Linked DNA regions of Pelodiscus sinensis. The protein of the gene in region 3 interacts with the protein of the main gene of each other region in a pairwise test. Links are inferred from orthologs where the notes say so. Each region holds a gene or a part of one and is shown on either strand. Other genes may lie near its edges.

Region 1 (7,963 bases), on a different chromosome or scaffold from region 3:
CCAAATTCCTCGGCTGCTTCTGCACCAAAGGCAAGTCCCGTGGGAGGAAGTGGCTATTCTGCAATGCCCATCTCCGAGCGTTGTCCCTGCAGGCTGCGTGGATGAGAAGCAGCAGTGTGAGCCTTGGGCCCGGCAGGGGTTCTGCACGCGCCGGTGCGCCTTCATGAAGAGGCATTGCCCCCAAATCTGCAACTCCTGCTCCGGTAAGAGAACTCCTCCCCTGCTGGTGCTGTGGGCTACAGAAACCAGCTCCCCCCTGCAAAGCAAACGCCACCTAGCACCTCCCATGCCCCTCCCTCCTTTATTAGGCTGCTGCAGCATGCAGAAGGGAGCCATGGCCGCTTGGCTTGGCATCACTGCTCTGTGTGTCTTTCAGAGTTCCCTGCTGCCTCCCCCTCTGTACGAGTGCAGCCCCCCCACATTCACACCAAGTACCTCTCCAAAGGCAGAGCCATAACCTTCCGCTGTGGGCTGAACACCTCCAGGACACACCTGCAAATCAGGTGAGCTACTATCCAGCTGGGAGCTCTCCGGGATGCAGAGCATTGCTGCATCTATGGACACCCCCCTCCCCAGCACTCACTAAGCCAGGTCTCCCTAGCTGAACTCTGCAGTAATCTCTTTGCCTGCTGCCTTCCGAGGGAGATGGCGCTCGTGTCTGTGCAGATGCTGCCAGCTGTGGAGGCCAGGAAGCAGGGAGGCTACTGCTTTGGAAAGGCAAAGTTGGTGTGGGGGGGTCAATGGATGTGCAGACTTGAGCACCCCTCCAATAAGGAGCAACCACGGGCCCTGATCCCGACCACACCCAAGTGAAACAAACTGCTCCGCTGTGTTCTGTGAATAAAAGTCCTGGTCTCTGACTACAGGCTGAACCTCTGTGGTCCGGGACTCTCCCTGGTCCAGCAACACCTGTGGTCTGGCTGGGCCAGAGAGCCCCAGCCGTAGAGGTTGCCAGTGGCCTGGGGGCAGTGGAGCTCTGGTAGCAGGCGGGGTGCAGTGCACTGGCCAGGGCCAGGAGGGGAGCCCTAGCAGAGGTCAAGGCTGATCTCCCCTGGTCTGGCAAAATCCCTTGTTCAGGACAGCTCAGGTCCCAAGGATGCCAGACCAGCAACGTCCAACCTGTAGCAGGTTCAGCAGCGTGATGATGGGAAGAGAGAAATGGCCGGATCTTGACTGTGGCTGGGAGTGAGTTGGGCGGAGGGAAGGAGACTGCTAGCAAGCCAGGAGCTGAAGGAAAGGCCTTGGCACTCACTGGCTGGCATGGGGGTCACTGGTGCTAGCTGACAGCAGCTGCCCGGGTCTCACGGTCCTGCCCTCCTCTCTCTTGCAGCTGGTACAAAGATGGGGTGCTCCTTTCGCGCTCTGTTCCCGGCTTGGAGCTGCTGCCGAGCCAGGCCCTGCGTGTTCATGCTGCCGTGTTCAGCGAAGGGCAGTATACCTGCCTGGTCCGCCGTGCCAGCAGGGTCCTCCGTGCCAACTCTTGGCAGCTAAAGCTCAAGGCCAGGGGTTCTTCCCCACACAAACAGCCAGGCCAACCAGATGTGCAGGGAATTGCACGGGCCTGATCCACAGAGCAAGGGAGAGCTGGGTAACGGTGGATGTGAGGACAGCATCCTCCTTGCTCATCACTTGGCATCTCCCCTACCTCTTCCTCACTCCCTCCCCCTCAAAGCAGGGCAGCCCAAACAGCAGAGGGGTCAATGCCAGGAGCGCTGCCTGCTCCTTTCCTTGGCCCACTCCTCGGGCTGGCAGAGCTGCTCTGTATTCCTAGCCCAGGGCAGCAATCTCCTCCTGGGGGAGAGGTGAGGGCGCGGCGGCTGCCTGCTCTTAACAGGTGATGCTTACCAGTTAAGGTTAACCAGAGGGGTGGGAGCAGCTCCCCACCTGCTGCAGGTGGTGGTGGGGGTCTCACTTTGGATAGAGCCTGCTTGAGCCAGAGCAGCTTCTGCTTGCGGTGGCCCCGGGTACCTCAAAGGCATGGGTTGCTCAGGTTGGGACACCTGCCTGTGAGGTGCCCTGGCCCAGGGTGGGCAGTGGGGACTGCTGCAGCTGAACTGGAGCGGTCTCCCCTGCCTTTTAATTGGTTAACAATATATTTAACTGACTAATGAATTAAATGGGATTTTACATCCCTATTCCTCACCACCTTCTCCATGCCTGTTGGTTTCATAAATGATTGTGAAATGCCTAGGACTTACTGAAAGAAATAAGGTACCTTAGGCTATGTCTAGACTATACCTCTTTCAAAATAAACTTTTCCGGAAGAGATCTTCAGAAAAAACTTCTGAAAGAGAGCGTCTACACAGCAAAAGCTTCAGAGGGGTAGCTGAGTTAGTCTGTAACAGGAAAAACTTAAACATCAAATAGTCTAGTAGCACCTTAAAGACTAACAAAACATGTAGATGGTATCATGAGCTTTTGTGGCCAAAAACCCACTTCATCTTTTGTAGATTTTGCCCATGAAAGGTCATGATACCATGTACATGTTTTGTTAGTCTTTAAGGTGCTACTAGACTATTTGATGTTTGTTTTACATAGCAAAAGCACATCAAAAAAAGCCATCTGCTTTTTTGAAAGATAGCATCCGTTCAATATGGATGCTATCTCGCATTTAAGCTGTGATTACTATGGACGGAGTGGCCACTATGGCGCCTGTGTTTTTTCCTCTTCTTTCAAAAGAGCTCCCTCTTCCCTGTCCACACAGGCCTTTTTCTGAAAGAACTCTTTTGGAAAAAGTCTTCTTCCTTGTAGAAAGAGATTTACCAATGTAGGAAAAGCCCCTCTGTTCTTTTGATTTTTTTCCCCAAAAGAATGTGATTGCAGTGTGGATCTAAGGGAAGGTTTAAAAAAAACCAACAAAAACAACAAAAAACCACCAGCCATTTTTCTGAAAAAAACAAACAATCCTGTGCAGGGTGGACATACCATTAGACTCTTTCACAGTTATTTTTCTGCCTGCCTTTCCTGGCCCCTTTGACCCTGTTCAGATACCAGCTCCCAGCCATGCAGTCTCCCACGGAGGAGTCAACTCAGTGCCCATAGCATGGGGCTGCAGTATGACCCCAGGCCTGATTTGCAACAGCAAGGGCTGCTCCTTCCCTCACACCACGGCAGCTGCTTGCCAGAGAGACAAAGCAGCCCCTACGGTGGTGTTTCTCATACTGGGGGAGGAGGGAGGGCTTGAGGCTGTCTTGGGGGAGTGTGGTATGGCCACACTTGAGTGGGTACTGCTGGTTGGGCAGGTGCTTCTGGCTGGGCACCCAGCTTGCAAGGCAGCGCCCGGCCAGCAGCAAGGGGGGGGCATGGTACGGGGCAGGCCCATAGCACCGAGGGCCCCAGCAGCAAGGGGGGAGGGCATGGTACGGGGCAGGCCCATAGCACCGAGGGCCCCAGCAGCAAGGGGGGGGCATGGTACGGGGCAGGCCCATAGCACCGAGGGCCCCAGCAGCAAGGGGGAGGGCATGGTACGGGGCAGGCCCATAGCACCGAGGGCCCCAGCAGCAAGGGGGAGGGCATGGTACGGGGCAGGCCCATAGCACCGAGGGTCCCAGCAGCAAGGGGGGGGCATGGTACGGGGCAGGCCCATAGCACCGAGGGTCCCAGCAGCAAGGGGGGAGGGCATGGTACGGGGCAGGCCCATAGCACCGAGGGCCCCAGCAGCAAGGGGGAGGGCATGGTACGGGGCAGGCCTATAGCACCGAGGGCCCCAACAGCAAGGGGGAGGGCATGGTATGGGGCAGGCCATAGCACTGAAGGCTCCAGCAGGAAGGGGGGGGCATGGTGTGGGGCAGGCCCATAGCACTGAAGGCCCCAGCAGGAAGGGGGGCATGGTGTGGGGCAGGCCCATAGCACCGAGAGTCCCAGCAGCAAGGGGGGGCATGGTATGGGGCAGGCCATAGCACTGAAGGCCCCAGCAGGAAGGGGGGGGGCATGGTGTGGGGCAGGCCCATAGCACCGAGGGTCCCAGCAGCAAGGCGGGGGTATGGTGTGGGGCAGGCCCATAGCACCGAGGGTCCCAGCAGCAAGGGGGGGTATGGTGTGGGGCAGGCCCATAGCACCGAGGGTCCCAGCAGCAAGGGGGGGTATGGTGTGGGGCAGGCCCATAGCACCGAGGGTCCCAGCAGCAAGGGGGGGTATGGTGTGGGGCAGGCCCATAGCACCGAGGGTCCCAGCAGCAAGGGGGGGTATGGTGTGGGGCAGGCCCATAGCACCGAGGGTCCCAGCAGCAAGGGGGGGTATGGTGTGGGGCAGGCCCATAGCACCGAGGGTCCCAGCAGCAAGGGGGGGGGGCATGGTGTGGGGCAGGCCCATAGCACCGAGGGTCCCAGCAGCAAGGGGGGGGGTATGGTGTGGGGCAGGCCCATAGCACCGAGGGTCCCAGCAGCAAGGGGGGGGGTATGGTGTGGGGCAGGCCCATAGCACCGAGGGTCCCAGCAGCAAGGGGGGGGGGCATGGTGTGGGGCAGGCCATAGCACTGAAGGCCCCAGCAGCAAGGGGGGGGGCATGGTGTGGGGCAGGCCCATAGCACCGAGGGCCCCAGCAAAGGAAGTCAGAGCCCCTGAGTGGCTCCAAGTCACTTATGTCGGGGGATGCTTGAAATCCCAGCTCCGCAATAGCAAGGGGCGGAGCTCACTGGGCAACCACGCCCTGGCCCCGCCCCCCGGCAACCACGCCCTGGCCCCCGCCCCCCGGCAACCACGCCCTGGCTCCACCCCCCCCCCCGCCGACCTCTGTGCCAGCCCTCCCCTGGACCCCGCCCCAATCCCGCTTCACGAACTGCGCACGCGCCTCCCTTGCCCTGGCGGGAACTTGGAGGACGGCGCGCCCGGGGACGAGGCGCATGCGCGGGGCACCCGTTCCCGCCGTCCCTCGCGCTGGGCCGGCCCCGGACTCCATGTCCCAGCCGCCTGCGCGCGGCGGGCTTTTTTTTTTTTCCTTTTCCCGGCGTGCCCCGCGCTCCCCCCCCCTTTCCCCGGACTGCGTGGCCCGGCGGCGGTAGCGAGGCTGGTGCCGGGCTGTGCGGCCATGGCCTCGTGCGCCGAGATCCTGCGCAGCGAGTTCCCCGAGCTGGACGGGGAGCTGTTCGCCTACGTGACCGGTGAGGGGCGGGGGGAGCCCGAGGGGCGGGGCCTGGGGCGGCGGGGGCGGGGCTGCCCGGGCCGGGGTTTCCCGCCTCTCCCCGGGGCGCCCCGCCGCTCTGCCTCCCCTCAGCACGGCGCGCCCCCGGGGCTGGCGCGCGCTCGCAGGCTGCCTGCCCGATGGGGCGCCCGGGCGTGTCGCCTGCCTGCCTCGCGTGGGAGCGAACCCCCTTCCTGCGCGAGAGCCAGGCGGGGCCTGTCACCGACGGGGGGCTGGGCACGAAGGGGCCCCGTTCCCACCCCTTCTGCGAGAAGCCTCAGTCCACGTGCAGAGGTGCCCCTTCCCCCCCCCCCCCAAATCCCCTGGCCTTGGAAGACGTTCAGAAAGGGGCCGCAGAAATGATGAGCTGCTGCCCCGTGACCGGGACTTGTCAGCGTGGGAAAGAGATGGATGACTCGGGGGGCGATAGCCTAGAAGTCTGTGACATCACGGCTGCTGTGGAAGAAGTGACTAGAGAAGAGTTAGTTGCTCCTTCCCATAACGCAAGAACGAGGGGTCAACAACTGGGCGTCCTAGGTTGAACACAAAAGGCAGTACTACTTCACAAAACTCCTTCCCATAACGCAAGACCGAGGGGTCAACAACTGGGCGTCCTAGGTTGGGCACAAAAGGCAGTACTACTTCACAAATCTCCTTCCCATAACGCAAGAACGAGGGGTCAACAACTGGGCGTCCCAGGTTGGACACAAAAGGCAGTACTACTTCACAAAACTCCTTCCCATAACGCAAGAACGAAGGGTCAACAACTGGGCGTCCTAGGTTGGACACAAAAGGCAGTACTACTACACAAATCTCCTTCCCATAACGCAAGAACGAGGGGTCAACAACTGGGCGTCCTAGGTTGAACACAAAAGGCAGTACTACTTCACAAAACTCCTTCCCATAACGCAAGAACGAAGGGTCAACAACTGGGCGTCCTAGGTTGAACACAAAAGGCAGTACTACTACACAAATCTCCTTCCCATAACGCAAGAACGAGGGGTCAACAACTGGGCGTCCTAGGTTGAACACAAAAGGCAGTACTACTTCACAAAAGGCAGTCAACCTGTGCAATGCTTTGCCAAAGGAAGAACTAGATAAAGTAATAAGGCTAGGTCCATCAGGGATGGTGTCCCTAGCCTCTGTCAGGGCTGGGAATGGGCCATGTCTTGATTCCCTGTTCTGTTTAGTCACTCGGCCCTCTGTCAGAAGACAGGGCACTGGGTTCGATGGACCTTGGGTCTGACTCAGTATGGCCATGCTTGTTGAGAAATGAATGGAGCTATACCTATCTCCTAGGACTGGAAGGGACCTTGAAAGGTCATCGAGTCCAGTCCTCTGCTTTCACAGCAGGACCAAGTACTATCCCTGACACTTGCTCTAGATCCCTAAATGGCCTCCTCAAGGATTGAGTTCACAGCACTGGCTTTAGCAGGCCAATGCTCAAACCACTGAGCTATCCCTCCCGTAGGCAAGAATATGGGCCAAGGTCACTTACACATGGATGCCTGTGGAATAGTCTGGAATTGAACCCATAGCTCTCTTACCTACTTTCTTCAATTGGCACTGGAGGTCAGCCCCCTCCCTTAAATCCTAGAATGATCCTTGTTGTTCAGTGGGATTGTGAGGATGGTGGAGGTGTGGGGAGACACTGGCTGTTATTTTGGTTGGAATTCTTTGGGCCTGTTGCTCAGTGGCTTGTCTCTCTTCTCTTGCAGGGATCCTGCACAGTGGCAGTGAAGATTTTGAGTCTGTGGATGATCTCTTTGAAGCAGTGGGAGAGCTCTTGCAGGAAGTGTCCAGAGACTCGAAAGATGATGAGGACATCCGGGATATCTGCCAGAGGATGTTCAACACCCTCCACCTGTAAGTACTCTGGGGCCTCTATGCAAAGACCTGTAAACGGGGCTGAGTCCAATGTGGTGAGAGACGAGGAGAGCTCTGGGTCTTGTCATGTGCATTTTACTTTAGAGCTGTGCTGTAAAGTGTCAGCATTAGGAGTGTACAGAATGAGGATGTCAAACAGGGTGACACAGAATAACTTAGGGCAGCATCTGAGACTCATTTGGGGTGGTGTGTGGCAGATGGGAATGTTGCAGGAATGGGAGTGTATCGTGGTACCTTTACTCCTTGATTCTTCTGTGTGTTACAGAGATGACGAGAACTCTCAGGGGTGCAGCAAGGTGCTGCTAGATGCGCCAATTCAACTTTCCAAGGTTACAGACAGCTATGGTGAGTAATAAATACTGAGCAGCCCTTGCTCCTAGGGAATCCTCCTTTGATGCCTGAGCTGCTCAGCTGACTGAACAGTCTCCCATCTTATCTGCGGCTATCAATTGTAGAACCATATTGGTGGGAAGTTTATAAATTATGAGGTTGATGGATTGGAATGGCACTCCCTCCCTGGAATGCAGAGGAGCTGATTCTGCATACTGGTGGTCTTTCAGACAGTGAGCTCTAATGGCAAGAACAGGGCTAGGAATAAAGACTTAAATTCTCTTTTCAGCGCTGCCTCTCCCTTGCCATGTGATCTTGGGTTAGTCATTTCACCTCTGTCCAATTGTAAAACAGGTTATTAACTTTCCTGCCAGGGAGTGGGTAGATTTGTATTAAGCACTGAGCTTGCCTGGCAGAAGGTGCTGGAGAGAGGGGCCGAGTGTGACTGCCTTTCTTGTTCATTGCAGATTCTGGCTTGGACCTCTTTCCAAAGCTCTTGCTGAAGAGAGGCCAGACCTCAGTAAGTGGGAAATGCTGTTACCAGCTCATGCTCTTACTAGCCTGTTTGCTGCATTGCTCAAGATGCTAAGAATGCCCTTGCCTTCCCATTTCTTACACATTCACCCAC
Region 2 (6,903 bases), on a different chromosome or scaffold from region 3:
ATGGAGCCTAATGTTACGTTGTGTCTTTGTAGTGCAGCCTATTTAAGGTACCACAATGACTTTAATCCTTGTGCAGTATTTCCTGATTGCTGTTTGTTTTATTTAGATGGAGTTCAAGCACTCTCTCACCAGGCACAGTGAAACCAACATCTGTTATCTTACACATCAGAGAAGTGATCTGCTTTTTCCTCTGTACACAGTTCTCTCAACCCTACCTCCTGCTGGCACCTTACTTCCATGGAGAATAAGGAGATTGAGAGAGCTTCTTCTTTTGGTGGTCATCATTTTTTTCTTTAGACTTGCAGAGAGCTAGTATCTGTAATAATCATGTAGCACCTGGCTTCAGCACTTTCACAAGTTGTCTACTTAAGCAGCTAAGCATATCATCTTCTTTAGGCATTTTGCCCAGGATCTGAAAGCCTGAGTCAAACTCTGTACTCGAAATGCATATGTAGCCTGATTCAACTTCTTTGCCTATTAACCAGATGCTTTGAACCTTGTTCTGCCATTTCCAGGTGGGAGAGATTCCTGCAAGGTGCTAAAGTTTCCAGTTCCGTTAAAATTAGGGACCTAAAGGTCATTGAGTCCAGTCCCCTGCCTTCACAGCAGGACTAAGTACCATCCCTGATGAATTTTTACCCCAAATGGCCTCCACAAGGACTGAACTCACAATGCTGGGTTTAGCAGGCCAATGCTCAAACCACTGAGCTATCCATCCTCCAACAAATACTCTTGCCTCCTCCAGCAAAATCCATAAGCACATGCTTAACTTGAAGCACATTAGGTGCGGTCATTTACTTCAGTGAGCCTCCTTTGCTTGGAAGCCAGCTCCAGGCGTGGTCTGAGGAGGTCTGACCAAGATCAGTGGCCTCTTAGCAGTGCTAAACTAAAAGGAGGCTACTTTGCAGGCAGCGCCGTGGCTGAAGACAAACTGGCAGGAAGAAGTGTCTTGCACGGATGGGAATGCCCCCGACTGCAGGATTTGTCTGGTTGGAATTTCCATAAGCAGTGCTTCAGAGCAATCCCATCTAGAACATTTTACGTCACAGATGCAGTGATAAATTTATTTTCACAACCAATCCATGGTTTATTTTTAAAAAAGCTATGAAGTTATACAACCTGCTAATGGGTAAAAAGTACCAAATGCAAGACACAGGAAGGTGCAAATGCACTCTAGTATGTAGAGAATAATAAAATACAGTAGGCTAAATTGCATTCTCAGTTACTCCTATACATCCCCACTGACTGGCATTTTATCAAGGTCCTAGCAATTGCATAAAGTTAACTGAGGGCAGAATTTGGACTAATATGTTTATTGTAAAATATTAAATTTCTTTCAGTTTCACCCAGTCCAGCCACGCCTAAGCGCATGCTTCCATTTAAGTACATGGAGTGTTTCATTGACTACTTTGAGCCTTTGCTGTTTGGCAGCCAGCATGATTATTTGTGAGACCTAGTTTGAATATATGGAAAGGAACAGGGCCTATACATATTAACCCACTCAAAATTGCCAAAAAAGACATTAGTCCACTGTGTATGACACACGAACATATTTCTATATTACAGCCTTCATTATGGCACTTGGTTTAAAATGGAGATGCATATTTTGATCTTATTTGTATATGTCATAACGTAGATTTTACTTCTACAAAACACATGAATGTACACAGGTATTTTACTATAAATTGAATTTTTAATCTTTTGTTTTAATATGTAATCAAATAAATTGTTGAAATCTCCAATACATGAGAACAGAGCCTACAGCAGGACCAATAATAATATGTGGGGCCACATGCAGGGGAACCAACTACACATGCCTCATGCTGGCCCTAAATTAACCTGGAATTACACTGAGGGAGGTAAGCATTTTACAGATGGGGAAACTAAGGCATAGTTAGTTAAAAGACATACTCATAGGCTACGTCTACACTGGCATGATTGGCTACTGGCTACTGCAGCCTGGCCAGAGGTGGTCTAACTTGAGGTCAGTAGCCGGGCTCCATTCCTGGCAGGATGGAAGCCTTGGTATTTTGCTTTTTATTCCTTTTTAAATAAATGTTTGAAGCCCTTATATTTATCCTTGGTTCATCTTAAAATTCAGTTACTAATCCTTCAAGCCATCTTAATATAGTCCCCAACAGTTTAATTATTCTGTCTTTCTGTAGCTCAAGTATTCTGTCTTTCTAGAAGGTTTACTTTTTTGCTCCTGATCATAGAGTAAATATATCTGACATGAAATATTTATCACACCATTCTATCCTGTGGATGAAAGCTACGTGCTTTTACCTTTAGTAAAAAATGTTGGCTTATGAACATATCATACTGTATAATACATTAAAATATATTGGACACAGTAAATTTAAACAAAAAGTATGGGTTTTTCCTACTGATCCCGTGGTGGCTTCAAAGGTTTGGTAGGGCCTGATCCAATCCCCATGGAAGTCAACAGGAATTTTTCAGCTGACTTCACTGGATTTTGGACCAAACCCTTAATATTTCTCTGGTGTTATTGCTCCAGTGACCAAAGAACTGGATTGGGGGTTAATAAAATGAGACTGGGGTAACAAAAACAGACTAAATATATTCCTGAAATGGAAATAAAAATATAAGTGAATTATTTCTCTCATTCTTCACTCAGACTTTATTTCTGATCTTTTTACATCACAATTACTGGAACAGATGGTCCATCTAATCCCGTGCCCTGCCTCCAGCAGTGGCCAGTACCTAATACTTCAGAGGAAGGCAACATGCTGTAACTGCAGTAGCAGGTTTAATTCTACTTCGTGTAAATCACTCTGCTCCAGGATGCACTATAGAGAGGATCAACCTACCTTGTGAGAGAGCAAAGGATGAGGACTGACAAATGGCAGGGGAGAGAGCTGACAGGTTCACACAGGCCTTTCCCAGCTCTAGCGTTTATGTGATTCATTACTGATCAATAACCTCCTGCTCCAGAGCTTTCCTCGCTAATTAACAGCAAATAGCAATGAGGTATAAATGTGTTATATTGCCTATCGTGAACTAGACGAGGATCAATTTTGCTGATGCCCATGACTATCAAACTGTAGAAGAAAAGAAATAGAGAGAGGGACACAGCTTAGCTGGACCTAGCTGGCTCAGATAGCTAAGTAGATAACAGCAGTGATAGGCTAGAATGGTGTTTGTTTTTGGATCCCAAAGCACTGATCAGAGAGAGACACCATTATCCTATTGTGCTCTTGGGAATATTTGTGGCTAGGATGCCAGTCAGGGTGTGTCTGCACAGGGAAGTTATTTTGGAATAACAACCGTTACTCCGAAATAACTATGTGAGCATCTACACAGCCATTCCGTTATTTCAAAATAATTTCAAAATAACAGATGGCTTATTCTGACTTCTGTAATCCTCATTCTACGAAGAATAACGCCTATTCCGAAATACTTATTTCGAAATAAGGCGTGTGTAGACGCTCCACTTCTGCTATTTCGAAATAGCCCCTCACCGGGGCCATTCTAAGTTATTCCTCCTTGGGCTCTAAATTGAGATAGCACCTCTATATTAGGGAAGCCTGCCACTGACTAATTTTGAGGCTTCTGTACTGTGTAGACGTGCTATTTCGAAATAAGCTATTTCAGAACAACTATTCCGAAATAGCTTATTCTGAAATAACTGTGCAGTATAGACGTAGCCTAACAATGGTCCTGGGTACTTGATACACGCCCAGAAGACCATTCTCAGGCTGCATGTCTGCGTGCTCAGCTCACTGCAAAACTGTAACATAATCTTAAATTGCACTGGGCTGCAAAAATGCAACGTCAGCTCCCAGCACTGGCTCCGTGGCGAGCGCCCGCCTGGCCCTTTAAGAAGCCAACTCAGTCGTGATGCTGCTGTTTGTATTGCTAAATCCCCAGGAGTCCAGTTCAGAAACGGGCAGCTGTCTCTTTAAGTGTGATTTCCTTCTATTGTATTTGAATCGTGATCAGGAAAAAGGAAATGAAACCAGAGACTCGGGGCTGAGCTAAATAATAATAATGATGCTGCTGATCTCTGCATCTGCGGCAGAGGCACCCTCTCTCAGGGTAGGGCATGAGCAGAGCTGTCCAGCCAGAAAGCATACGCCGAGCAATTAGCACAGGGGACTCCAGGGTAAGCAGCAGTGACAGCTGAAAGGGTCTATTTCCATCCGCGATCGGAACAGCAGCTGCAGCTGGGGCTGCCCTGCCACGCAGCAAACAGGAGGAGCATTGCGAGGATGGGAGGTTAGATCCTAAGGGTCAGCCTTGCGGAGACACAGCCCGGCGGCAGCAGCAGCAGCAGGAGCAGCAGCCCGTATTTCTTTCTCTCTTTGGTGTTACAGGAGGAAATCCTGTGAATGTCATTGGGGGGCGGAGGGGAAACTCAGCTGGTGAGAAAGCATCAGGAGCAGACAGCCTTTGTAAGGGGCAGAGGGGGCAGATCCTACCACAGACACACTACAAAGGAGAAAGCCCTGCCAATGTCATCAGCCATCGAGAGGAAAAGCCTCGATCCTTCCGAGTAAGTGGCCTTTTTTCTTTCCTAGCCCCCTCTGCCTTTTGATGGCTCTTGAGCTTCTCCAACACACGGGCTGGGAAAGGACTTTATGAGCTTCCAGAGTCCTTCATTGTGATCATTGTTGTTGCTATTTTGGGTAAGTGCCAGTTCTAGGAAGGCGCTTTGGAGATCTTCTTCTGGGGGAAGGTGGTTTAGACATATGCCAGGGCTGCTTTTACCTTCGAAATAATATTCCTGCGTGCAATAAAGTCCTAAGCACAACCACCGCTTGCCCCCTTCCATACACTGCTGCCCTTGTAATATTACAGCCTGGGTGGATTTGGTAGAGAGTGTCACTCTGGTGCATGCAAAGGGGAGGGTTGGTAGATTTCATTGAGTTGCTGCTGGAGGAGGCAAGCTGTGTAGATATCAGTGTGCTACTCATGTGGATGGCAGCACGAGCCCAGAGACATCAGTTCCCCATTTTGAGTTGAAACCAGATTATAGATTCATCAGATTTGTCAGGTTTTGTGAAATACCTGCCAGGATAAACCTCTCGTTTGAAAAAAATCTAACAATCCCCTTCACACTCCCCCTCTGTTCTTGAGATGCAGTGATGCTGATGAGAGTGATTCAGAGATATGGGGTGCATAATACTTTCCAAAGCTTAACTTGTTTTCAGGCTCTGCTCCCTGTTTAATCTGCCCAACTAGCTGACTAGACCAAAAGGTCAAAGCTGTTATCTGATGGTGTACAACTTCCACATTTTCATACTACAAGTCAGTTTGAAACTTTCAAGAGATTATAATGATGGTGTGGGGGAGGGAGATCACAAATGCATAAAGAATTGATACACAGAAGGTGTGGGAGAAGAAATTTGTTCTTACTTACTACCTTTGTGGAAGAGGTTACATAAATTCAATAACTGATTGTAGCATTACGATCTGGCTCTTTCAGTAGATTTCCTGCAGCCATCCGTTTGTACTTGAATGCTGGCATTTAGTTGCAAGAGGAGTGTGAACTCAGCTACACAATGCACCGTGTCATTCCACTGAATTCCTGGGCTCTGCGTCTCAAGAACAGCATTAGGTGCACTACACTTGTCTGTGTCTCAGTGGCACTGTGATAATACAATAAGGAAAAACACTTGTAAAATCCTGGTTTTCAATGTAAAACTTAAATTTTATTTCCGCCTATAAACATAATTAATTTTTAATTTGTTTCCTTTAAGTCATTAAAATGTTGTCTTCTGAAGCCCTCATCTAAGGCATGTAAAACATAACTAACTCATGATCCAAGGCAGTTAATACGTCATATCAGACATTTTGCATTTGTTACCATTTTTCTCATTTCCCATTGATTTTAAGAAATTGTAATTTAACTTCTAGGTAATTTTTTTTAAAGATTTCAACTACACAGTAGTCGCAATATTTATTTATTTGCTTTATGTTCTAGTGAATAACAGCTGGCTATGAAATCCAAGCACATAAAAAAGCTAATGCATGAAACCGAAATTCTGTTCAAAATAAACATAGAATCATAGGTTCCAGCAGGGTCGGAAGGTAGCTCAAGACCGCATCTGCCACAGTGTGAGACTATGCCTGACTTAGGCTTTGAAATAACCAACCCATCGATCCTGATCGGTCATGAAAAAGGACAATTTAACAATATAAAATATGGGTGCATGTATGCATCTATATGAACATCTGCACTCACAAAAGAAGGGATTCATTAATTGTGAAAAAGCTGCTTCCTTATTTCCTTGTATCCTCAAAATATTCTTATGGACTTGTAGTATTTGCTGCAGATAAACACAGTGTTTTGTTCTATGGATATAATGCCCTGTTTATATTATTTGGCTTATGTGTTATTTAATGCATTGATGTTTTCAAGCCAGCCTCACGGAAACAGCATGCATTCCTTTATAGTTATATATGTAATTGGTTGGTACTGCGAGTAGCAGTGCTTGCAAAGCATAGAGCATAGAGGTGTATGCTTTGAAAATCTAGGGTCTGATCATCTGTATGTAGAAACTCCCACTGACTTACTGACAAGACTGTGTGTAGAGAGGTCTGGTAGGCGTTGGATCGCAAGTCATAAGAATGTTAGGACACAGCAATATAAACCGTGAAGTGAATATGGAAGTAAGAGTAGATGCTGTTTTAAGATTGAAGTCAGAGGGAGATTTTGCCTAAGTAAAGCTGCACTCATTAGGACAGAAGTTTTGGAGCACTGTTTTCAGAGACATATGAAAGTAACTTTTGACAAGGAAATTGTTTTTCCAGTAAGTAAAGGTGGTAGAAAAATGTTAGTTTCTATGGCCTGTTGGAACGCTAAACAGCCAGATTTCTATCAGTGTAGTTACAGTCTGTCCTCACCAGTCCAGTTGTGGTATGTAATAAAAACAAATT
Region 3 (6,870 bases):
AAAGCATGGACTATCGCTGCACCTCATTTGCATAATTAACTAGGCTCCGTTTTTGCGCGAGAGGCTTTTGCGCAAGAGCCGTTCTTCCCCTTTTTTCAGGAAGAACAGCTCTTGCGTGAAAGCCTCTTGCGCAAAAACAGAGCCTCGTTAATTATGCAAATGATGCGCTGCAGTATTCCACACTTCGCCTCATTTGCTTCATTATGCAAAGTCTGGGCAGCTGCATCAACTGAGCAAAACTGCATCTGGGGCTACCCCCTGGGTACGTGGCAGCTCTGACCACCTGAGTGTGAATGCGGCAACCTTCAGTCTGATCATATGCTAGTTCCCCGCTGCAAGGGGTTAGTGTGTTTCACTCTCTCCCCTCACATTGCTGCTATAAAATATATATGGCGTTCCATAGCACAAATCACCGGTGTGACAGGCAGGGTTTGAACAAAAGGAAGTTAGAAATAGACATTCCACTCGGAGAGCTGCATAGATCATTTTTTTCTGACAACAGGGGTAAATCTCTGTGCACGTTACGCTCCTCTCCCACAAGATTCTCAGTGTCTCTGATTTCTCACGCTGTGCATTCAGGTCGGAGAGATGTATCCTCCTGTGATACCTTGCCAGTGCAATCTATTACTGTGCAGATGAAAACTAAACAGATGAGCAGAGACCAGGCTTATAGCCTGCACCACAGTCTCAACTCCTTGCCTGATCTCCTTGCTACAAGAGCAGATCTTCTAACCAAAGCCCAGAAGCAAACTTCCCCAGTACTCACACAGTGACATAGGGCCATGGCACAGTGCCCTTCTGGGTGGCTGGCAGGTTGGTGGCACCATGCAGAGTGACGGAGATGGATTCCTTCCCAGTGTGCGCCAGGTGCCAGTGATTGGTTTCTGAAGTTCGTGCAGCCTCATCCGCTCCACAGGGTGACTCCACTACCTGCCAGGCACAAGCAGAAGGAACTTCAGCATTTGTTCTTCCCTGATGCAGATCTTCTGCCTCCCACCAATCCACATCTCCAGCTCTGTTCTAAAGGCTCAGGTGTGTACCCTCTGCAAACAAGCTGAGCTTGCATATTTTGCATCTACTTGGAGAGAGGCGTCTTTCCAATGGATGTAAATGTGTCCACTGGCTGAGTCCCAGAGCAAAAGTAAATTCATAGATGTCTCCTCTTCTGTCCTTATTCACATGTAACTCCCATGGGCAGAGCGCTGCATGCATACAAAATTTGTATCCACGTCCGCATTTGTAACTGCAAAATGAGCCGTGGATGCAGATACAGGTGACCCCCGACTGACGACCCACCGCATTTACAGCCATTTCTTTCCATGTAAGATAGCTCCTAAAACCTCCCAATTTACTTCTACAGCTCTCATTTACGACGGCGTATGACGCAGACTCCACGTGTCATCCCAAAACAGGAAACGTACACGGTCAGTCAGACTCGCCGTCTGCATCAGCTGCTTGAACTGCGCCACACCGGTCTTCACTTTTTAGTTATTTTTGTGAATTATTTGAACTATTTTGTTTCATTTTCCTCCATTTCTGTAGTCAACTTTGGCATTTTTAGGGTATGAAATGGGTTTCCAGGAATGGAACTGCCATTTATAAGATTGCGCCTATGGGAAATAAGGATTCAACTTATGACAGCTTCACTTACGGCAGTTCTTCAGAAACCAAGTAGGTCATAAGTGCAGAGTCGCCTGTACCCATGGATACAAAGCAGATATGTGCAGATTTGCAGGACTCTACCTCCAGGAGTAATACATGCAGAGGAAGAGGAGTTCACAACCCAGGAAAAGGAGCTGTGAGAGCCCACAGCTTCCCCAACAATGCCCTGCCAATGTGCCTCAGCCAAGCCAGCAGAGTAGACTCCTCCAGGCAGGAGGAATCAAAGTTTGTACGGCCCTGTCATCTTCTCTGCTGAAACTGCCAACCAGGGAGCTAATCAGCAGAGAGCAGGAGGGAGGCGGAGATGAATGCAAAGGAATGTGGAGTTAGAAGGTAGAACATGAGCGGGTGGGAAGTTTGGAGTGCAGGAAGGAGACTGAGGTGTACAGATAGTTCGGATTAGGAAGCCTAATCCGAACTATCTAGTCCGTGCCGTGTGTAGCCGCGCGGCATGGGGTTCGCACTAGCCGGCTTTTAAAAATGGCGGCGCCGGCTTTATGCTAATGAAGCCCGGGAAATTCAAATCCCGGGCTTCATTAGCAAGTTCGGTATGCATACATTACCCCCCTAGTTCAAACTAGGGGGGTAGTGTAGACATACCCAGAAAAGGTAGGGAATGGAGGAGAAAGGGTAGAGAATGGATAGAAGACGGTGAGGTTGAAAGAGGGAACATATGGGCTGGCAGATGAATTGAGAGCAGGAGACTGGGTGGGAGAGAGAAGCAGGGAGGGAAGGGGGACAGGGCAATAATGAAGTGGGGGCAGTGTAGGCATACACAGGCAGCACGCTCGCACCAGGAGTCGGGGAGATTAACCAGCGCCTGCATCTCTGGAGATGCACAGAAGGTTGAAGCACACACAATTTGGGCCCAGTAAAGGCACAAAACTTAGGAAGTAACCAGCCCTCTCTCCCCCACAAGGAATTATCAATATGGATGAATGTTGATGCCTGATGGGCAGGCGCCTCCCTACCTTGGGAGCTTTTCCCATGTTTGACTTCAGCCAGAGGGCAGCGCTCTAGGCCCCTCCTGTGCCCCTGGAACCCACTGCTCCCTCTGTGCAGGGAGCTGGTGAGAGGGGTGAGGAGCAGGCAGCCAGCCAGAGGCAGCACAGGAGAAAGGAGCTCTACCCCTACCAGGGGAGGCTGGAAGTGCAAGGCCTAAACAAAAAGCACCCCGCTCAGCTCAGTGCTGAGAGTCTGGCTGAGGAGGGAACAGGCTGGGGTGGCGACCCCCCTGCACATCCCCATGGCAATGGGCCTGTACTCTTGTGCCTTGAGCACACACGCTGCCTCTGCTCAGGCCTCGGGAAGAAATGCTCTCAGACCTCCGGTGGGCACCCTGGTTACTGCCTCCACGAGCAGCGCAGGTGCCCCGTGGCGATTGGCCGGTGAGGGTTCTGAGTTGTGTGACAGCACAGTGAAAGGGCCCGGGCAGGGCTCGGGCTTGGTTGCCCTCACAACACACAGGCCGTCAGGCAGGGCCTGTCTACACAACACCCCACCTGCTTCAAACCTGGCTCGGTGACACTAAGAAGATAAGAACATAAGAACGGCCATACTGGGTCAGTATGGTGGAGGGGGGCAGGTCCTAGAGGGCTGAGGGCAGTGAGAAGGGCAGGAGTCAGAACAGCAGAGGAGGATGAGGGGTTGGGGGGCAGCAGGCACCAGGGGAGCTGATGGAGCAAAGGGGGGAGACATGGCAGCAGAGGGAAAAGGTCGAGGTTCATATGATATTTATTAATAACCTGGGTGCCACGGTGGCACATGCAAACAAGCCACATGACCTCAGTACTGGTGCAAAACACAAAATTCATTCTGCTCATGGGAGGAAACTCTTAGAGGGGACACTTCCTCCAGCCTCTCCGCCTCCGAGTTAATGTGACCCAAATTGGGGTAATGCAACTGCAGAATAGTTGCATGAGGGGGGTTTGGTGGGAGCCAAACTAATCCCTATTGGTAGGAAGATGGTGGGTCACGTGACACCTTTTACATCTGGTCATGAGCCCATCTTGCCCCGAGAGTGTTACCTCCAGAGGTCTGGCTAATGGGAGTCAGGGGTGTGGCTAATGGGGGTCAAAATTCTTTGGGTGCACACCCTAATGAAATGTGCTGCACACGCCTATGGTTACAACCCTATGAGCAGCGCCGCTTGGCGCCTGCTTCTAACATGAGGCACGACAGACAGGCTCCCGCTGACAGCGAAGAGAGAACAGCACCCAGCAGCAATCAGTCTCTCCAGCTACTTGCACTTGTTACGGCAATTAGCAAAAGGTTCCAAAACGTCAGCTCCAGGCCCACCAACTAGGGCTGCCAGGTGTCCGGTGTTGAACCGGACAGTCCAGTGTTTGAGCTTTCCATACAGGAAACAAACTGAGAAATAGAAAGGAGACTGCAGAACTGTCTGGTGTTTTCTAAATAAGATGGGATGTAGATTGGGATGTCATGTCACGCTTTTCCGGGATTTTTGTTGGAGCCATCTGACAACCTCCAACAGCGAGGGGGGACGACAAAGGGGGCCCTTGTTCCAAGGCCTGGCAATTCAAAGGGGCCAGGGCTTACAGCCCCCCTGAACTGCTGCTCGAGTGCCGAAGCGTCGCTCCAAACGGCTGAGAGCTGGGAGGGGAAACATGTTCCGGGCAGCACTGAGGGCTGGCTGCCCCCATCCCACCCCTTTTGGCACATGCAGCTGCCTCCTCCCTGGCCCCAGGGTCTGCAATGAATCTCAACTCTGCTAGTCAGCCCTGCGTCTCACAACAGAAGGCAGGAGATGTGTGACAGACCCAAACTGCCCAAATACACCCACATATACACAAACACACAACGGGTACCAATATACACACACACATATATAAATACACGTGTACACAAACACGTACACAAACATGCACACACATCTACAGACACAAATGCTAATACACATACACACACACCAGTCTTATTAACTACTAGCCAATTAGCCCGTCATATGACAGAATTTTCAGGTCTCTCCTCCACGTCGGTCTTCTCTCCTGAGCTTCCAGTCTCTCGCTCTGTCTCTCTCTCTCTCTCTCTCCTCCTACTGCCTCCCCCTCTCTCTCTCTCAGCTCTCCTCTGCCTCCTGCCTCTCTCTCCATCTCTCTCTTTCTCTTCTCCTCCCCCTTCCCTTCCTGCCTCTCACTCGGGGGACCGCGGAACCCAGATGGCCGTTTGGGCCCCGCACTCCCCATGAGCACAGGCCGCCCAGAGGGAACAGCCAGCATTTCAGAGTTACAGACTCTCAGACATTGGACCACTATATATATATATAGATCAGGTATCATGACATTTGCTCTTAAAATTCCCCCATCCCAGCAGCTCACTGGGATTGGACAGGCTGGTGTAGCTCTGGCAATTAAGCTCCCACATGGTTGATCCAGCCTATTCTGCTGCCAATTCCTTAATCAGTTGACAAGCTCAGTCTTCACCTCAGCTTTCCCTTTGCTCTCTCCTCCAGCCTCTGGTGTGTGTGCCTTAAGCAAGTGGGTCAGTGGCCCCTGACCCAAAACAGTTGCCCCCCCCCCCCACACACACACACACAGTTAGTATCTATAAGCACAGCAAACACATCTAACCAGCATTGCCTCTCATTCCTAACACCAAGGCTGGCATTTCACAACTGTAGCCTAACTAGCACTGAAGGGCCTTAATTACCATTTACCTCCTTGTCTCCCCTGCCTCTAGGCTGAAGCTGGGTCAGGTGGCCTGGGACTGTTGAACCTTTCAGGCCACGTGCCCTACTTGTTGCAGCCATGATCCTAATGGCCACATTTTAATCAGATAACACTTCATGTGGATAGAAACCTGACTAAATCGTTTGGCTCAAAGGGTACTGATCAACAGTGGTGCCGACTGCCTCTGAGTCCCTGGGCAAGGTGAGGGAGGCCTAGCTCCTGTTCCCAGACAGGGCAGGGCCTTGGGTGGAAGGGCCAGGGCCTTGGGTGGAGGCAGCAAGCTCTGAGCACTGCCCACAGAGGCCTATGTAACCAGTGCAGTCCACACTGTGGCAGGCCTTCCCTCAACCCTTAGCACTGTGCAGACCTCGGCTTGCCTTCCCTCCACCCTCAGCACTGCGCAGACGGTGGCATGTCTTCCCTCAATCCTCAGAGCTACTGTCAAGGCTGTTCCCCACTCTGGCACAACAAATGCAAAAGTTGGGGGGGCCGCAAGAGTGCTCCAAACGCTTGCATCTACAGGCTTCGGTACAAAAAACTTCTACAAAATCCTAATACCCAGATTTTGGGGGATCCACTGCCACCATCGAGTGCTTTTGAACCCCCAAAATAAATAAAAAACCAGGGGTTGACACTTGAAACCAACCCCAGGGGTACCCCAAGCCCTTTTTTCCCCAAAGCGCTTGAAAAAGGAGAGAGAGAAAGAAGCTGCAGTCTCTGGTAGCTGACCCCTCAATCAGAGGCATGTAGATACCCACCGATAGACCTCCTAGGACACACGAATCAACCAATACCGGTTAATTAGAAAAAAGAAACAATCTTTTATTATCAAAACAAAACTACAGTTGCAAGCATAGTAAATTGGCTAGATGGAAAAAGCCACCATTTGATACAGATCCTCAGGGAAAAACCTCTGGGCTGTAAGACTTAGCTACAAAAGAGGGGAAAAAACAATGAGCAAGCTCAGACATTATTTCCAAACCCCCAAACAAGGAAAACAATAAACCCTGATGGACTATCTAAAACTTGTCCCTACTTATATATTTTAAGAAGTCCGTTCTTGGAGAGAGAAGCATCTCCCTTAATACCTGGGAGAAACTTCTCTGAATCTCAAACAAGGATGAGAGAGAAAAACCCCTCTTCTCCACTTTGAAATTCCTACCTGCATTGTTATTGGCTGACTGCCCAACACCTTGGCTAGATACTTGAGTTAACCCCTTAGTGACCAGGTGCTGGTCAGCACTACTGATTATGACAGCTACCCAGAGAGTGACACTCTTTCCCCCAATCCCCAGTGCTCCCCAGACCGCGGTACACCTTCCCTCGACCCCCAGTGCTGCCCAGAGCGTGACAGGCCTTCCCTCCACCCCCAGCGCTGCCCAGAGCATGACAGGCCTTCCCTCCACCCCCAGCGCTGCCCAGAGCGTGACAGGCCTTCCCTCCACCCCCAGCACTGCCCAGAGCGTGACAGGTCTTCCCTCCACCCCCAGCACTGCCCAGAGCGTGACAGGTCTTCCCT
Region 4 (7,201 bases), on a different chromosome or scaffold from region 3:
TCCGAGCTTCACAGACAGAGGCTGCTCCACAGGATGCAGAGCAGCATCTGTCCATGTGGAGCTCAGACCATCCCCTCACCCCTCCCCCCCCGCCGTTGACGGGGCTGCTTCTGTGAAACAGCCTCTAATCATGGTGGGCAGGCCCACTAATGACAGAGGCTGCCTTATGGCAGCCTCTCCGATTCCTCCAATTCACTACTGCTGCAGTAGTGAGGGAGATGGGGGCAGGCAGCACCATGGAACCAGTGCTGGGGGGGGGGGGAAACCAGCTTTTAAGACGGCTCCCCCCAGCACCAGCTCCTGCTCCACCCCTCCGCCCCTCCCCCCCCGCTTGCTGCCTCTGATACAGAGGCAGCAAGTGGGGGGGAAATGCAAGTAGTAGACAAGATTAACTGATAACCTTAGGCTTATCGGTTAATCATCTAGTCGACTACTCGTTGGCATCCCTAGCCACAGTATGGCAATAGATGCACTAAACAGACAGGCATGTCAAGTTCCTTTTGTGCCCAGTTCTGGGGCTCAGAACTCTTTAGTGAGGATAGCAACAACTAACATTTCCAAACTTGCATTAACCATAATAATTAGAATCACACAAGCAGCCATATAAGACCACCAGCATATTGCCCCTTTCAATCAATGATCACCAAGCACTTTACAAAGAGCATCATTATCCCAGTGTCATCCTCAAATGGGAAATGGAGACATACAAGGGGACATGTCCAAGGTCATATGGCAGGTCAATGGCATAATCAGGAATACTCACTGGTCTCCTGACTCCTATTCCGTGCTCTAATCATTTCATCATGCTGCCTCTTCTACAGCACATTTCTCTCACCAGTCGAGGAGGGGCTATTTCTGCTTTTTGGCTTTGACTGGCCCGCCCGCTTGGCAGAGCAATTGGATCTTTATGAAATGCAGATTCCACAAGCAGGGATTGTCAGCACCTGAGCTGGGGGCTAAAAGCTGGAAGCAAATAACCAGGAGGAATGGTTTTGCATTCGTCAACATTCTCTCCTGGGCAAAATCCCTTCCCAGTCTCTCCAGCTTGAATCCAGCCCCTTTGTGTTCTCAGATGATCGGCCTAATCCCTGAAATCCAGCAAGCAAAGTAGTACAATCCCCTCCCTCCAGGCCATTTATTCACCAGCTCTGGAGTTTATCACCTAGCAAGACACAGAGGGTGGGTGCCTTTTGTTAGTCTGCATCCACCCAGTGGCTGAGGAAGGATTTGATCCCTATTGTCTCCTCTGTGAACATCTCTTCCCCCCCCCAACCCAATAAGCAGCCCATGTTTCAGGTGTGGCTCCCATGGAGAGCACCTGGAAAGTTTACTTGTCCATGACACAGTCCAATAAATCTGGGATCACCTGTTCTGTCAGCTGGAACTTGCCAAGGAATTTTTCCTCGCACTCTACCTTGGAGCTACTCCACCCTCTGGTATTGAGACACTCGGGACTGGCAGGCAAAGGACTGTGATAGAGCTCAAGAATCATTGGGCAGCTGGTGCTCTGTCAGTGGGAGTTCTCCATGCACATAACCTTTAGAGCTAAAAAAGTCAAATCTGAGGGGAGACCAGCCCTAGCTGGTTAGCAGAGGAGACAAATCCTCCAATGGTATTTTGTATTGATTGCTTTTGGTGCTGCCTGGCTTGAGTGCATTCTTAAGGGAATGAGCCAGAGTTCTGCTAACAAGCTAGACAATAACAGTAATAATAATAATAAAAAAAGAGAGAGAGAGAGAGAGAGAAATGGATAACAACTTGCAAACACCAACTATTCCCTCAAGACTCTGAAATCCAAGTCTCAAAATAGGGAGCTATCCAGATTGGCAGTATGTGCCTTTACTGATCTCATGCAGTACATTAGCTAGCTCTGCTCCTTTAGCAATTCATACATAGCTAGCATGTGCCTGTCTCACACACATACAGATACCCACTAACCTGAATAAGGAAAAGGACAGTATTCCTAGATCTTCCTTCATTCTGAGCCAACCCTGCCCACCTCTCAGTGATAGCAGACCCATGTCTATTAATACTTAGGCGGTGGTCCAAGCACATCTGTGTGTGTGTGTGATTATACAGACCTTTCAGACCATGTTGCATGTAGACAATACATTCTATGAACTACAGTCCCAAAAGTCTGTGGGGCTTAAGCACATTAGTCATCTTCAGAAACAAAAACACCTCAGAAAACCATTTTTTGCTACATGACAAGAAGTGGGAAAAAAATCCAATCCCCTGGGATCGTCCACCCTGATGTGACATTTTCCTGCCTGTTCGACTCAGCCAGACCCCATACAAAATAAGCCCCGTTCCCATAGCAAAGGAAGAAGGAGGTGTACTTACTGCTAGTGCTCATGCTGCTGGTCCTGCTCTGTCCTTCTCATTCAACAAAGGGGGCAAAGCTGCTTTTCCAAACCTCTTTCTTTCTTCCTAGGAGTAGGTTTCCCCCCTTTTCTTCCTAGGAAAAATGTTTCCGTGTGATTCCCTTCTAATTCATGCCAAGGGGACTCCTGGGCCCCACGCTATTACCTCCCCTGGCTCCTGCCTTTGCTCTTAATTTTTAGCAGGCAGATAATAAAGAGGAGCTACAGAAGCAGGGTAGGGTTTTCCTCTGGCTCCCTCTCCTCCCAGCAGTCGCTGCACGGCGTGAAGCAGCACGCAGACGACTGACTCCGGCTTGCCCAGAGCCGAGTTCTATGGAGGGTGCTGTCATGCAATGCAGAGCAATTCCAGCGCCCGCTCTTCTTATAGCTCAAGGGGGGTGTGGACCACAGCAAGGGGAGGGGGCCCGCAGAGAGCTTATCGGATGAAGCTGCTCCCCCTCGCCCCTGAATCTATCCGAGGAGAACCCCCCCTGGCGCTCACCTCCTCTCAGGCAAGTTTGTCAGCAGAAGCCTCTTTCAAGTGCAGGTGGAGGAGTTCAGCCCGGCAGGGCTGGGCTGGGCTGGAGACTGAAAATTGTGATGAAAAGGGAAGGCGAGAGAGAGAGGAAATTAGCTCCACTGGGCAGGGTTTGCTCGGCTTGAGCCTGCTGTTGGCAAAGGAGCTGATCAGGCTGCCCTCTGCTGGCCGAAATGCGCCGCTGCTTGGTGCAGGCCATGCATCGAGTTTGCAAAGTGAAGGCAAGCATGCAAGCAGGTGTATCCATTTGCAATTTTCAAATTCCTCCCGAATTCACTCATCCGATGGGTTCTCCAACTCTCACCTTTCCCTGTCATCACTGTCCCCCGGTATTTACAGGGCGGGCTGATTGTAAGATCATCAGTTTCTTCTTCAGCAGGCTTGGCAAAGGGGGATTTCTATTTGTTTACAATTTCCATGGAAAATATCGGTGTTTAAGTATTTTTTCCATTTTGATTGATTTAAACTGTCACTGTTGTGCAAAATGATGGGCTTTAGGTATTTTTTATTTGGATTTATTTAATTTTTCACAGTTGCAGGAAGTTATGACTAGGTCAGGTATGGATTATTTAATAACAGGAGACAATTTCAAAAAGTTAAAGCTTTATAATTGTAAAACATAGAGGCTACGTCTATATTGGCAAGATTTTGCGCAAACACTCTTTAACACAAGAGTTTTTGCATTAGAATATTTGAGTAAGAGAACGTCTACACTGGCATGTGCCTTTGCACAAAAGATGTGCTTTTGCGCAAGAGCATCCGTGCCAGTGTAGACGCTCTCTTGCACAAGAAGTCTCCAATGGCCATTTTAAACATCGGGCTTTCTTGCGCAAGAAATTGATGTTGCCTGTCTACACTGGCCCCTTGCGCAAGAACAGTTGCGCAAGAGGGCTTATCCGTGAGCGGGAGCGTCAGAGTATTTGCGCAAGAAGCACTGATTTTATACATTAGAACGGCAGTGTTCTTGTGCAAGTACTCACGGCCAGTGTAGACAGGTGGCAACATTTTGCGGAAAAGCGGCCCATTTTTAAACGATAGATCTAATTCATCCCCTAAAAAACTCCCTGGTATTATAAATGTTGCTCAGAGAACTGGGGCCATAGAAAATACTGTTTTATACTAGAGAGAAGGCTGTCCTCTTTTGGTAAGATTCTCACTCAATGTTTTCAAGTGCCCTGGTCCCTCTGGCTCCAGTGGAAGGTTTGCTGGATCAAGGGCCTCAGGATTTGGCCTTTAGCTGTGGACCTTTTCCCCACACTGTGTCCCACATTTGGAAATGGGGAGGAGGTCTGCTGACATGGGTGTATCAGGCAATGATTTGGAAGCGGGCTGTACAGGAACTGGAAGAATGTGTGTATCCCACCTGTCTGTGCAGTTGGAAATAATGCCCTTCTCTGGGGCTTCCCTGGGACAGCCAGAGGCTGTCTTTGCAGGCATCAGATCAGGATTCTGGAAAGAATGTCAAAGAGCCATTCATTCTTTATTTTGCTAGTAACTCTGTGCCTTCCAGAGTTAAGTGTCACCCACCGGAGCTGCAATTCAGTCAGATACAGTTTATGAACTGGGACTTGTTCTGTGGCAGTCCCACCTGAGGATGCTCTGAGTAGCTCACACAAGGTTCAAAGAAGCAACCCATGATCTCATGTCCAATGAAAGGGGGGTTTATGCAGCATAACAAGTTTTGCGTCTTTCCCAGCTGCTGAACTGCCATATTGACAGAGTCATTTTTCTGTTTGATTTGAGGAAGCAGATGTTTCTGGTGATGTGTAGCGGGTTGTGTGAATTACGTGTGCACCTTTGGTTGTAGTGCAAACCAACTGGCTAAATCATCTATGTGTCTATTTCATTTGTGTATCATAGGAACAGTCTGCTCATTTCCATGGAGGGAGAGGGATTCAGGACACTGGAACTGAGGGTGTGTCTACACTGCACCATTATTCCAGAATAATGACTGTTATTCTGGAAAAACAATACTAGTGTCCAATTGTGTTATTTTGAAAGAAAATTGAAATAACGAAGGGCTTTTTCTGATGTTGGTAAACCTCAATCCATGAGGAATAAGGCCTCTTCCAAAAAACCAGTATTTTGCAAGAGGGTGTGTGTGGATGCTCCACTGTTGCGATATCAAAATAGCTCCTTACCAGGGCCATTCTAAGTTATTCCTCCCCAGTACCTCCTGGGGCTCTAAATTGAAATAGCACATCCATATTAGGGGAGCCTGCCTCGGACTAATTTTGAGGCTTGCCTGTAGTGTGGACACTCAATTTTGAAATAAGCTACTCCGGAAGATATCTTCTTACGGAAGACTCTCTTGTTTATTAGAGTGAGGTTAGAAAAAAATACATTGCTTGAAATGTGGCAAGGAAGCCACCATTGGACCAGAAAAGTGAGTTTTGCTGCCTTATGAAAATCCACCCTGATTTGTCTGAGTGATGTGCCTCTGAAAATCACCATTGGCATATGCATGTTCCATCTGTACTGAGCATGCTCCACCCAGGGACTGAGGGGCTGAACAGGACTTTATCTGCAGTTCTTCCCACCAGCTGGAGGCTGTTGTGTTAGATAGGGAAGACTCTCTCTTGTGTTCTCAATGGCTACGTCTACACAGCTTCCCTCTTCCGCAAAAGCTTATGCAAATGAAGCATGGATTAGCATATTGCTGTGCTTCATTTGCATGATTAATTAGGGGCCATTTTTTCAAAAAAAACCCTCTTGTGCAAGAGCTGTTCTTCCTCATTTTTTCAGGAAGAACAGCTCTTGCGCAAGAAGGAGTTTTTGCACAAAAAGGAGGTGTGTAGATGGTCCCTTTTTGCGCAAAAACATCTTGCAAAAAAATGGCTCCTAATTAATTACACAAATGAAGTGCAGCAATATGCTAATCCCTGCTTCATTTGCATAGGATTTTGTGGAAGAGGAAAGTTGTGTAGATGTAGCCAATGGGTACGCCTACGCTACAGAGGAAGATCGAAGCTGCTTCTGTCCATCTTCCAGGGTTCAAATTAGCAGAATAGTTAAAACAGCTGATTTGAAGTGAGAGGGGCACTGTGCTCTCTGCCGGTAACTCTGCTTTCACGAGGAGTAAGGGAAGTCGAAGGGACAGTGATCTCCCTTCAACTTCCTGCAACATAGACAGTGCCAAAAGCCGAGTAAAGCTACTTCGACTTCAGCTACACAATTAACATATCTGAAGTTTCATATCTTAATTTGACTTTGTCCCATAGTGTAGATCAGTGTTTCCCAACCAGGGTTCTGCAGAACCTTGGGGTTCCACAGACCATCGTCAGGGGTTCCGCGAGAAATTGTGGAATAAATAATTTTTTTTCTTACAATGTAAGCTGACATTATATATATATATATATATATATATATATATATATATAAACAGCTCTTTACAAATATTTTGTTGACAATAATTTAGCAGTAATTGAATTGCACTCCCCCACTGTCAATTTTTTGGCCAAGCAAACATTTTCATAGGTAGGGGTTTCTTGGGATATGAAAAATTATTTTAGGGGTTCCTCCATGGGAAAAAGGTTGGGAATCACTGGTGTAGACATACCCTGTGGGACTAGGAAAAGGAGACTAATAAAACATATGGGCTGTGTCTAGACTGCATCCCTTTTCCATAAAAGGGATGCAAATTAGACACATCACAATTGCAAATGAAGCGGGGATTTAAATCCCCCCCGCTTCATTTGCATAAACATGGCTGCCACTTTTTTCCGGCTCGGGGCTTTGCCAGAAAAAAGCGCCAGTCTAGACGGGGATCTTTCGGAAAATAAAGCCTTTTCCAAAAGATTCCTTATTCCTCTTAAAAAAAGGAATAAGGGATCTTTCGGAAAAGGCTTTATTTTCCAAAAGATCCCCGTCTAGACTGGCGCTTTTTTCTGGCGAAGCCCCGAGCCGGAAAAAAGTGGCAGCCATGTTTATGCAAATGAAGCGGGGGGATTTAAATCCCCGTTTATTTTGCAATTGCGATGTGTCTAATTTGCATCCCTTTTACGGAAAAGGGATGCAGTCTAGACACAGCCCTGATGTTATAGATTTAACCAGTAGGTGGTACCCTATGTGTAACAACCTTGACCTTGTGACAGCCATTACTGGCAGTGCAATGATAGTGAGCATATCTGCTGTGTATCTCTGGGAAGGCAGCTTGGTAGCCAGTCCATATCAAGTACCAGAAGCCTGCCCTTCTGTATAACTCCTGCAACCTGTACAAGGTGTACAGGACAGTGGAAACTGGCAGCCTGTATCAAATGTAGAGTGAGGAGGGGAAAAAGGAGGGTGGAATAGGAACAGT

Evidence for each region.
Region 1: the proteins of CCDC33 (region 3) and ABCF3 interact in a two-hybrid assay, tested with the Homo sapiens proteins (2 studies listed by BioGRID and IntAct). The two-hybrid records come from large-scale screens. The link is inferred for Pelodiscus sinensis from reciprocal best matches to the Homo sapiens genes CCDC33 and ABCF3.
Region 2: the proteins of CCDC33 (region 3) and LMO2 interact in a two-hybrid assay, tested with the Homo sapiens proteins (2 studies listed by BioGRID). The two-hybrid records come from large-scale screens. The link is inferred for Pelodiscus sinensis from reciprocal best matches to the Homo sapiens genes CCDC33 and LMO2.
Region 4: the proteins of CCDC33 (region 3) and ABLIM3 interact in a two-hybrid assay, tested with the Homo sapiens proteins (2 studies listed by BioGRID and IntAct). The two-hybrid records come from large-scale screens. The link is inferred for Pelodiscus sinensis from reciprocal best matches to the Homo sapiens genes CCDC33 and ABLIM3.

What each region holds. Positions count from the first base shown.
Region 1 is NC_134720.1:48,890,413-48,898,375, reverse strand, and holds the start of ABCF3 (ATP-binding cassette sub-family F member 3), read left to right. Parts: upstream 1-4,941; 5' UTR 4,942-5,025; coding exon 5,026-5,098; intron 5,099-6,836; coding exon 6,837-6,984; intron 6,985-7,270; coding exon 7,271-7,350; intron 7,351-7,802; coding exon 7,803-7,855; intron 7,856-7,963. Other genes in the region: matrix metalloproteinase-23-like, read left to right, coding at 164-203, 377-503, 1,331-1,565.
Region 2 is NC_134714.1:86,905,781-86,912,683, forward strand, and holds the start of LMO2 (rhombotin-2), read left to right. Parts: upstream 1-3,881; 5' UTR 3,882-4,126; intron 4,127-4,337; 5' UTR 4,338-4,352; coding exon 4,353-4,516; intron 4,517-6,903. UniProt on the Homo sapiens protein: Acts with TAL1/SCL to regulate red blood cell development. Also acts with LDB1 to maintain erythroid precursors in an immature state.
Region 3 is NC_134724.1:39,167,483-39,174,352, reverse strand, and holds the start of CCDC33 (coiled-coil domain-containing protein 33), read right to left. Parts: upstream 3,001-6,870; 5' UTR 2,652-3,000; coding exon 2,634-2,651; intron 931-2,633; coding exon 767-930; intron 1-766.
Region 4 is NC_134727.1:16,803,000-16,810,200, forward strand, and holds the start of ABLIM3 (actin-binding LIM protein 3), read right to left. Parts: upstream 3,023-7,201; 5' UTR 2,866-3,022; intron 2,842-2,865; exon of another isoform or gene 2,455-2,841; 5' UTR 2,357-2,454; coding exon 2,344-2,356; intron 1-2,343. UniProt on the Homo sapiens protein: May act as scaffold protein. May stimulate ABRA activity and ABRA-dependent SRF transcriptional activity.